Callithrix jacchus: one gene and its partner. The protein of the gene in region 1 interacts with the protein of each later gene in a biochemical or structural test. Links are inferred from orthologs where the notes say so. Each region holds a gene or a part of one and is shown on either strand. Other genes may lie near its edges.

Region 1 (3,644 bases):
TCAATAATAAATCCCATCTTCCATAGTAGGAAGTTAGTAAATCATATTTATAGGGAAAACAGAAGTCTAAAACTAGTAATGTAACCTTATCATTTAAAGATAAAGAAGTAACTATAAGAAGAAAAGCTAAGAGAGTTGAAAATTGTTGCCTTTGGACAAAGGGAACTGCAAATGGGTAGCATAAGCCTGGCATAGTTTTAAAACTTTTTTTTTTAATATTTCAGGGTTAAAAGTAAAAAATGAAAAATATAAAATGTGACAATTATGGAAAACACTTTAGCCGACACCTTTCACAGTTAAGCGTTGCATAAACATCAACTATTATTGCCCTGCCCTCCTGAAAAGTGTACTAATGAAGCCAGCGCCACATACTTTCTATTCATGTCATCTTTTTTCCCCAATTCCCACCATACATGTGCCATGTCTCATGAAAGACTTACCTACATACATGTCAGTATCTTGCCCTTTGGTTTGTGTATCTCCCTGATTTGCTAATCCATTGTTTTATTGACATGAATGAGAAGGAGCTGTTCGCATGTTGCCACTTTCTGAATCATGTTGTTGGTACCTTTACTCAGAATTTTCAGGAAAATCCTGAGCTGTTTTGTTCTCTTTTGCCTAATCATTTGCATTTGCAAGATTAAATAAATGGCTTTTGCAAACTTTGTTCAAGCTTATTCTAGTTTCCTAATTAGTCTTATTATATACATTTTAACATTTCTCCCTTTGATCAGGGCCGGAAGCTTCTTATCATTGGGACCACAAGCCGCAAAGATGTCCTTCAGGAGATGGAAATGCTTAATGCTTTCAGCACCACCATTCATGTGCCCAACATTGCCACCGGAGAGCAGCTATTGGAAGCTTTGGAGGTGAAAATGAGTCAATACATTGCACACTGTTTATAAGAAAGAAATTGAGGCTGAATTGAGCTGTATCACAGTCATTACACCTGGTGTTTGGTTTTTACACTAATCTAGAACATGGGACCCAGGGATATTACAGATTGTGTATCCCTTATCCAAAATGCCTGGAACTAGGCTGGGCGTGGTGGCTCACACCTATAATCCCAGCACTTTGGGAGGCCAAGGCAGGTGGATCACTTGAGGTCAGGAGTCTGAGACCAGCCTGGCCAACATAATGAAACCTTGTCTCTACTAAAATACAAAAATTAGCCGGGCATGGTGGTGGGCACCCGTATTCCCAGCTACTCAAGGAGCTGAAGCAGGAGAATCGCTTGAACCTGGGAAGCAGAGGTTGCAGTGAGCCGAGATTGTGCCACTGCACTCCAGCCTGGGCAGGAGAGCAAGACTCTGTCTAACAACAACAACAAAAAGTGCCAAGGACCACAAGTGTTTTAAATTTCAGATTTTTTCAGATTTTGGAATATTGCATTATATTTAGGTTGAGCATCTCTAATCTGGACATCTGAAATGCTTCAGTGAGCATTTCCTTTGAATGGCATGTTGGCACTCAAAAAGTTTACAACTTTGCAGCATTTTAGACTTCAGATTTTTTGGATTAGGGATACTCAACCCATACCTCCAGTTGTTTTCAGGAATGAGAGGACACATGACAGTGAATTAATTTCCCATTCCTCGGGGTGGGCAGCCTACAAAATGCCAGGAGTGGATTGCTCTGTGTCCAGCATGAGTGATGCATGTAGATTACTTGGACCAGAAACTTGAGTGGGTGGCGGTGTGGGGGTGAGGCGATCACAGTATAGAGAAATTAATCATTCAGCGCAGCTTTCGGTGCATTTCCTTGCATTTGGTAAATTGGAACAATGATTAAAGCCTTAGAATTGTCAAAAAAAAGCTATAGAAGTAAAAAATAACAAGTTTAGAAATAGGAATGTTTTCTTAATTTTTTGAAAATGACAGTTATTTCTTTTAATATTCTTCATTTAATTTTTTAATACCAGTATTCACAAATGACTTGGTGAGCTCTATTGGCAAATACTATCTGCTGAGTTATTCAGCAGTGGTAGAGTCAGTAAGGCTTCTTAAAGTCCTCAAGGACCCCAACAAAAATAGAAATGTATCTATATGATAAACGTTTTCGGATTACCTGTTTAGGCAACTTTTGTGCAGGAGCCGGGTAAGAGAATTAAAGGTAGTTTGCTTTGACACATACAGATTGTTCCTAGAAAAGAATGTTAAAAATTTTAACATACTTATTATGGATTGGAGCTGTTTTTACCCCAGCATATATATCTCTAAGTTAGAATGGAGGTCCATAAGAAAACAGGGTTTAAGATACCAGTTTCACTTTTATGATTGACCCTAATGGGTTTAGGAAGGTCAGACTGGATTTTAACAGTTAGGTAGTTCTTATCACTCTTCTTTTAAAAGTAAATAGAATTAACCCTTGTTGATGCATTTATTGTAAAAGTGCTTTGATTATTGTTTTTGTAGCTTTTGGGCAACTTCAAGGATAAGGAGCGCACCACAATTGCACAGCAAGTCAAAGGGAAGAAGGTCTGGATAGGAATCAAGAAGTTACTAATGTTGATCGAGATGTCCTTACAGGTAAGGTACTTCCTTCTCCACATGACTCAGACAGAACAGAGCTTCAGGATACACCAAGAGCGTTCAGTATTTCCTTTGCCAAGGTTTTAGTTAATTGAAGTTATAATTTTCTTATATTATTTCCCAACTTGATTTGGTATTACCAACCTGCTTCTGAGATTGATCACTTATAAATACTTTTTAACTTCTTAAAATTCAACAATAGAAGGAAAGATCATAAAGTTAATTTTAATTTAGGGAGCCACTAGATCTTAGAACTAGAAAAGACTTCAAAGAGCAGTGTTTGTGCTGCCTCCTCATTTTGGAGATGAGGATACTATGTGTGTGACAGGTTGTCAGTGAATTCTCCAAGATCACATCGCCAGGTTATTGATGGAGAAGGGATGGTGTTGTACCTCAGAAGTCAGTAAGCGACCACACATACACCAAAAGATGTCTGGGAGACTGTTTTAAGGGACAAGTTAATTAAGTTGTGCAGTCTAGACTTGGGCTCTGTGTATATTTCCCTGGCTGGGCTCCTAGAAATTTCATGCAAACTACTGTAGGTTGAAGCATCTAGGATCACGTAGAAAACTGAGCCCCAGGCTGCTGCCTGGGCAAAGACAGATGAAACTTCTTTGGGACTTTCTCATGTCTCCTGGCAATGTACCTTTCCTCTTTTTGGAACTCCACCCCTCCATGTGCCCATCCTGTGTCTTCTTGTCCTTATCTGACATACAATTTAGCTGATAAATCTCTCCCTATCAAATCCTATGAGTTCAAAGACCTTGGCTCTCACTATTGAGTCTACAGCCCCTGGAACAAGCCAACACTTAGTAGGGTGCTCAGTAAACTTTTATTGTTATTATTATTATTATTTTGAGACAGGGTCTTGCTCTGTCTCCCAGGCTGGAGTGCAGTGGCATGATCACGGCTTATTGCAGCTTGAACCTCCCAGTCTCAAGTGATCCTTTCACCTCAGTCTCCCAAGTAGCTGGGACTGCAGTCACATGCTACCACACTTAACTAACTTTTGCATTTTTTGTAGAGACATGGTTTCACTATGCTGCCCAGGCTGGTCTTGAACTCCTGAGCTCAAGTGATCCATCTGCCTAAGACTCCCAAAGTGCTGGGGTC
Region 2 (4,074 bases), on another chromosome or scaffold:
AGATTGGAAGGTCCCGGAAGTAAAAACCCTTCTTTGTTTTTGTTTTGTGAGGCAGAGTCTCACTCTGTCTCCCAAGCTGGAGTGCAGTGGCACGATCTCGGTTCACTGCAACGTTTGCCTCCCGGGTTGAAACGACTCTCCTGCGTCAGCCTCCTGAGCACCACGCCCAGCTAATTTTTTGTATTTTTAGTAGAGATGGGGTTTCACCGTGATTAGCCAGGATAGTCTCGATTTCCTAACCTCGTGATCCACCCACCTTGGACTCCCAAAATGCTGGGATTATAGGCCTGAGCCCCCGCGCCTGGCCTATTTATTTATTTTTTGGGACGAAGTCTCACTCTGTCGTCCAGGTTAGAGCGCAGTGGCGCGATCTCGGCTCACTGCAACCTCTGCCTCCACAGTTCAAGTGATTCTCCTGCCTCAGCCTCCCGAGTAGCCAGGATTACAGGCGTGCACCACCATGCTGGGCTCCTATTTGTATTTTAGTAGAGACAGGGCTTTGACATGTTGGCCTGGCTGAAGTGATCCGCCCGCCTCGGCCTCCCAAAGTGCTGGGATTACAGGCGTGACCCACCGCGCCCGGCCCTCTTCAGCTACTTTTTCTGAAGCCAGAGAGTTAAAGGATCTCTAAAGTTTTTGTTTCCCGTCTCTGAACTACTTCACTGGTCTCCCCGAAGCAGTTCCAGTATTGGCCGGGAGAGGGAGCAAAAAAAAAAAGTAGTCCTGTTTCCTTTTCCTCCAAACGGCTTTCCCAGTGAAGAAACCCGCGAAACTAACCGAGGGGGCGGGACTAAGCTCTGCGCAGAGCCGTCAAATCCGGGCGTGGACCCCGAGCTGTCACGTGAGTGTCCGCGGTCAGCTGACTGCGCCGGACTTCCGCGGCGGGGGGCGCACAACGCGAGTCGAGGGCTTCTGCTGATTGGTGAAGGAGGATTCAGCTTCAGCACCGTGGGGCGGGGCCTCGGCGGTGCGAACTGCCATTGCCTTCCGCCGTTGCCTTCCGCAGGGGCACCGTTCGCGGGTGTGTGCGCATGCGTTGAGGTCTCGGGACGCCAATTGGGGGGTCTTGAGTCACTGGCGGCGTGCGGCAGGTTGGGGCGTGGTCGCCGGAGCGGGCGCCGCGCTACGAGGCCGCTGGTTGGCCAGCGCGAGTCACGTGGTTCCGGGCTGCAGCAGCGCGCACCGGTGCGACGTCAACGCAGCAGGTCGAGCTTTCCCGACCTGTTTTCCGCGGCCCGGCCGCGGCTGAGTCCTCCCAGGGTCGGGGTTGAGCGCCTTGTTGAGTCTCTTTGTAGTCGCCATGGACAATTCCGGGAAGGAAGCGGAGGCGATGGCGCTGTTGGCCGAGGCGGAGCGCAAAGTGAAGAACTCGCAGTCCTTCTTCTCCGGCCTCTTTGGGTGAGAACCGGGCTCAGGGGTCGGCCGGGACCTAGGGTGAGAGGACGAAGGAGTCACGGCCGGAGGCGGCGGGTTAGGCACGCAGGGCTCGGGCCGAGGGGACGGAGAGGAACCTGGAATGAGGTGATATGGTCTGAGGCGGCAGAGGGGACACAGACTGAGGGCCAAGGGCTCGGGCCGGGGCAACACGGTTTGAAGAGAGACGGTCTGACATGGCGGAAGGGACATGGGCTGAGGACACACGGGCCAAGGCGACACTGTCTTGAGGCGAGAAAGGGGACTCAGGCCAAAGACAGGCCAGGGGGCCGAGGGAGAACCTGGACCGAGGGAATACGTCCTGAAGCTTTGGAGGGGACTGGCCTGGGGGGGACGGAGGGAATCCGGGAGAGTAGGCAGGTCGGAGGCCTTTCGGAGCTCTAGGGGCATCTGTCTGAAGGCTCTCAGGCGGCGTGATGGGTCCTGGGACTGAGGACGCCCTGCCCGAGGGACTGACCTTTCCAGTCCCCCAGGGCAGTGGATTTGTGGGGGGTCCTGGGCAGTAAGGGTGATGGCTGAAGGAGGCTGACACCAGACGGAGGGTCTCGGGAATTTGGTGATCCTAGGAGTGGTGAAACACATCTGAAGTGTGTGTTGGGGGGTGCCTAGGTTGAGTCCGGCCCTGGTTAGCAGTGACTAAAGACAGCTGAACCAGGGAACCCGCATGATGGAGCCAAGAGTGAGGAGGTCCCAATACTTTGGGAAGCCGAGGTGGGCAAATCACTGAGGTCAGGAGTTGGAGACCAGCCTGACCAACGTAGTGAAAACCCTTCTCTGCTAAAAATACAAAAACTAGCTGGGCCTGGTGGCTGGTGCCTGTTATCCCAGCTACTCGGGAGGCTGATGCAGGAGAATCACTTGAACCCAGACGGCAGAGGTTGCAGTGAACCGACATCACACCGTTGCACTCCAGCCTGCGTGACAGTACGAGACTGACTCCATGTCAAAGAAAAACAAAAAGACTGAGGAGGCCTGGGTTGAGGCTAAAGACTCCTGGGTGGGGGAACACATGGTGGTGGCTTGGCCAAGGAGATGGAGGGGTAACAGGGCGAGACAGAGGGACAGAAAGAACCAAAACGGGGGATCAGAGGCCTGCTGTGTGATCCTCAAGTAATGGTGATGATGATGACAGGGACATGGTGAGAAGACGGATGGGAAGAGGCTTGGGAGACAGAACTAATGCATATGGCATGGCATAAAACTCGCATTCGCTCCTAAAAGCGACACAGCCATCCTCTGAGAAATTCTAGTGGCTTAGGAGTGTCAAGAGGCCAGGTTTGAAATGTGGCTCTGCCACTTCATGACCTTGGGTAAATTGTTCAGTCTCCCCATTAAAGGAGACCTCGAACCAAACCTACCTGCGATTTGCTGTATTAGGATTGAGCCTGGCATGGAGTTAACGTCTCTGAACATGTTAGCTGTTGTTAATGTGACTTTCCAGAAGGAACAGATTTGGAGCGTGCAGAGGGATGAGGGGTTCAAAGTTAGTGTGAGCGGAGAGGTCTGGGAGGGGTCAGAAGAGGGAGAGATGGAGAAGCATGAGTTTGCTAAGAGGAGCTGAAATAAAACACAAGAGGGACCCAGGAGGACTTAATAGGGTGGAGAGGCACATGAGACTCTGGGCAGAGGAAGTAGAAGGGAGCTGGGGAGGGTTTGGCAGGGGGTGGGAGGTGGGGAGTGAGATCTGCGCTGATGGGGGGTCCTGAAAGGATCAAGGGGAGGCTGTGGGAACAGAGAGGAGGCTTGGGAAAGGACTAGTGGGCTTGTAGAGAGGATGATGTGTGGTAGCCACTCAGAAGCAGAGCCTGGGGAAGGTGGTAGGACTGGGAGCGTCTGCAGAAGGCTGGAGAAGGGGGTTGGGGGGAGGGCCTGGGGATCGGAGGAGACCATGGTAGGAAGCTGGCAGAGGCTGGTAAGACACGAAGTGGAGGGATCTTTCCAAGAGAGGAAAGAACGGGAAAAGGCTCTGGGCCTCGCCCCTTGTTTGAGGTTGGATAATGTTTAGCAAAAGAACTTGAAGAACATGACCGGGAATTGCCTGGTGTGGGGAAACATCCGGGGCTGATGGACCATATTGATTAGGTGAAAAATGTTTTCTTTTAGAGGCTGAGAGGAGGGAGAGGGGGTATGTGTGTGTTTTCTTCATAAGGGGAGAAGTTCAAGTGCTGTGTTTGGGGGTGGGACCACGAGCTGGGTTTTTGGTGATGGTTTTCCTGGGTGGCTCTGAGTGTCTGTTCCCTTTGGCCCAGGGATTGGTGGGTACTGGACCGTGTGCTTGGAGGGAGCAGCTAAGTCAGCCCCAGGGCACTTGCTACCTGGTTGGGAAGGCAAGATGAACACCAAACACTAGTAAAGCAGAATTACGGTAAGGAAGGCCTCGATTATGTCATCCGTGTGAATGGCTGAGCTGAGAGGAAGCAGCGGGAGCTGCATGGAGGCTTCTGGTGAGGAGTGAGCTAGGCCCCAGGGAACGCCCAGGACTTGCTAAGGGAGTGGGGCCGGGGAGGGTGCTCTAGGCAGCAGGGATGGTGCTGCCGAGGTCTAGCGTGAGGAGACGTTCTGCCTGGAAAGACGGGGAACTGAAATCCAGAGGGACCAGAAATGGCTTCCTGGGGGAGAGGGCCCAATCCTGGGGAATGA

What was found.
Region 2: the proteins of NSF (region 1) and NAPA form a complex in vitro, tested with the Homo sapiens proteins (2 studies listed by BioGRID). The link is inferred for Callithrix jacchus from reciprocal best matches to the Homo sapiens genes NSF and NAPA.

The regions. Positions count from the first base shown.
Region 1 is NC_133506.1:86,216,796-86,220,439, reverse strand, and holds part of NSF (vesicle-fusing ATPase), read left to right. Parts: intron 1-734; coding exon 735-869; intron 870-2,414; coding exon 2,415-2,528; intron 2,529-3,644.
Region 2 is NC_133523.1:41,452,651-41,456,724, reverse strand, and holds the start of NAPA (alpha-soluble NSF attachment protein), read left to right. Parts: upstream 1-1,149; 5' UTR 1,150-1,300; coding exon 1,301-1,398; intron 1,399-3,683; exon of another isoform or gene 3,684-3,799; intron 3,800-4,074. UniProt on the Homo sapiens protein: Required for vesicular transport between the endoplasmic reticulum and the Golgi apparatus. Together with GNA12 promotes CDH5 localization to plasma membrane.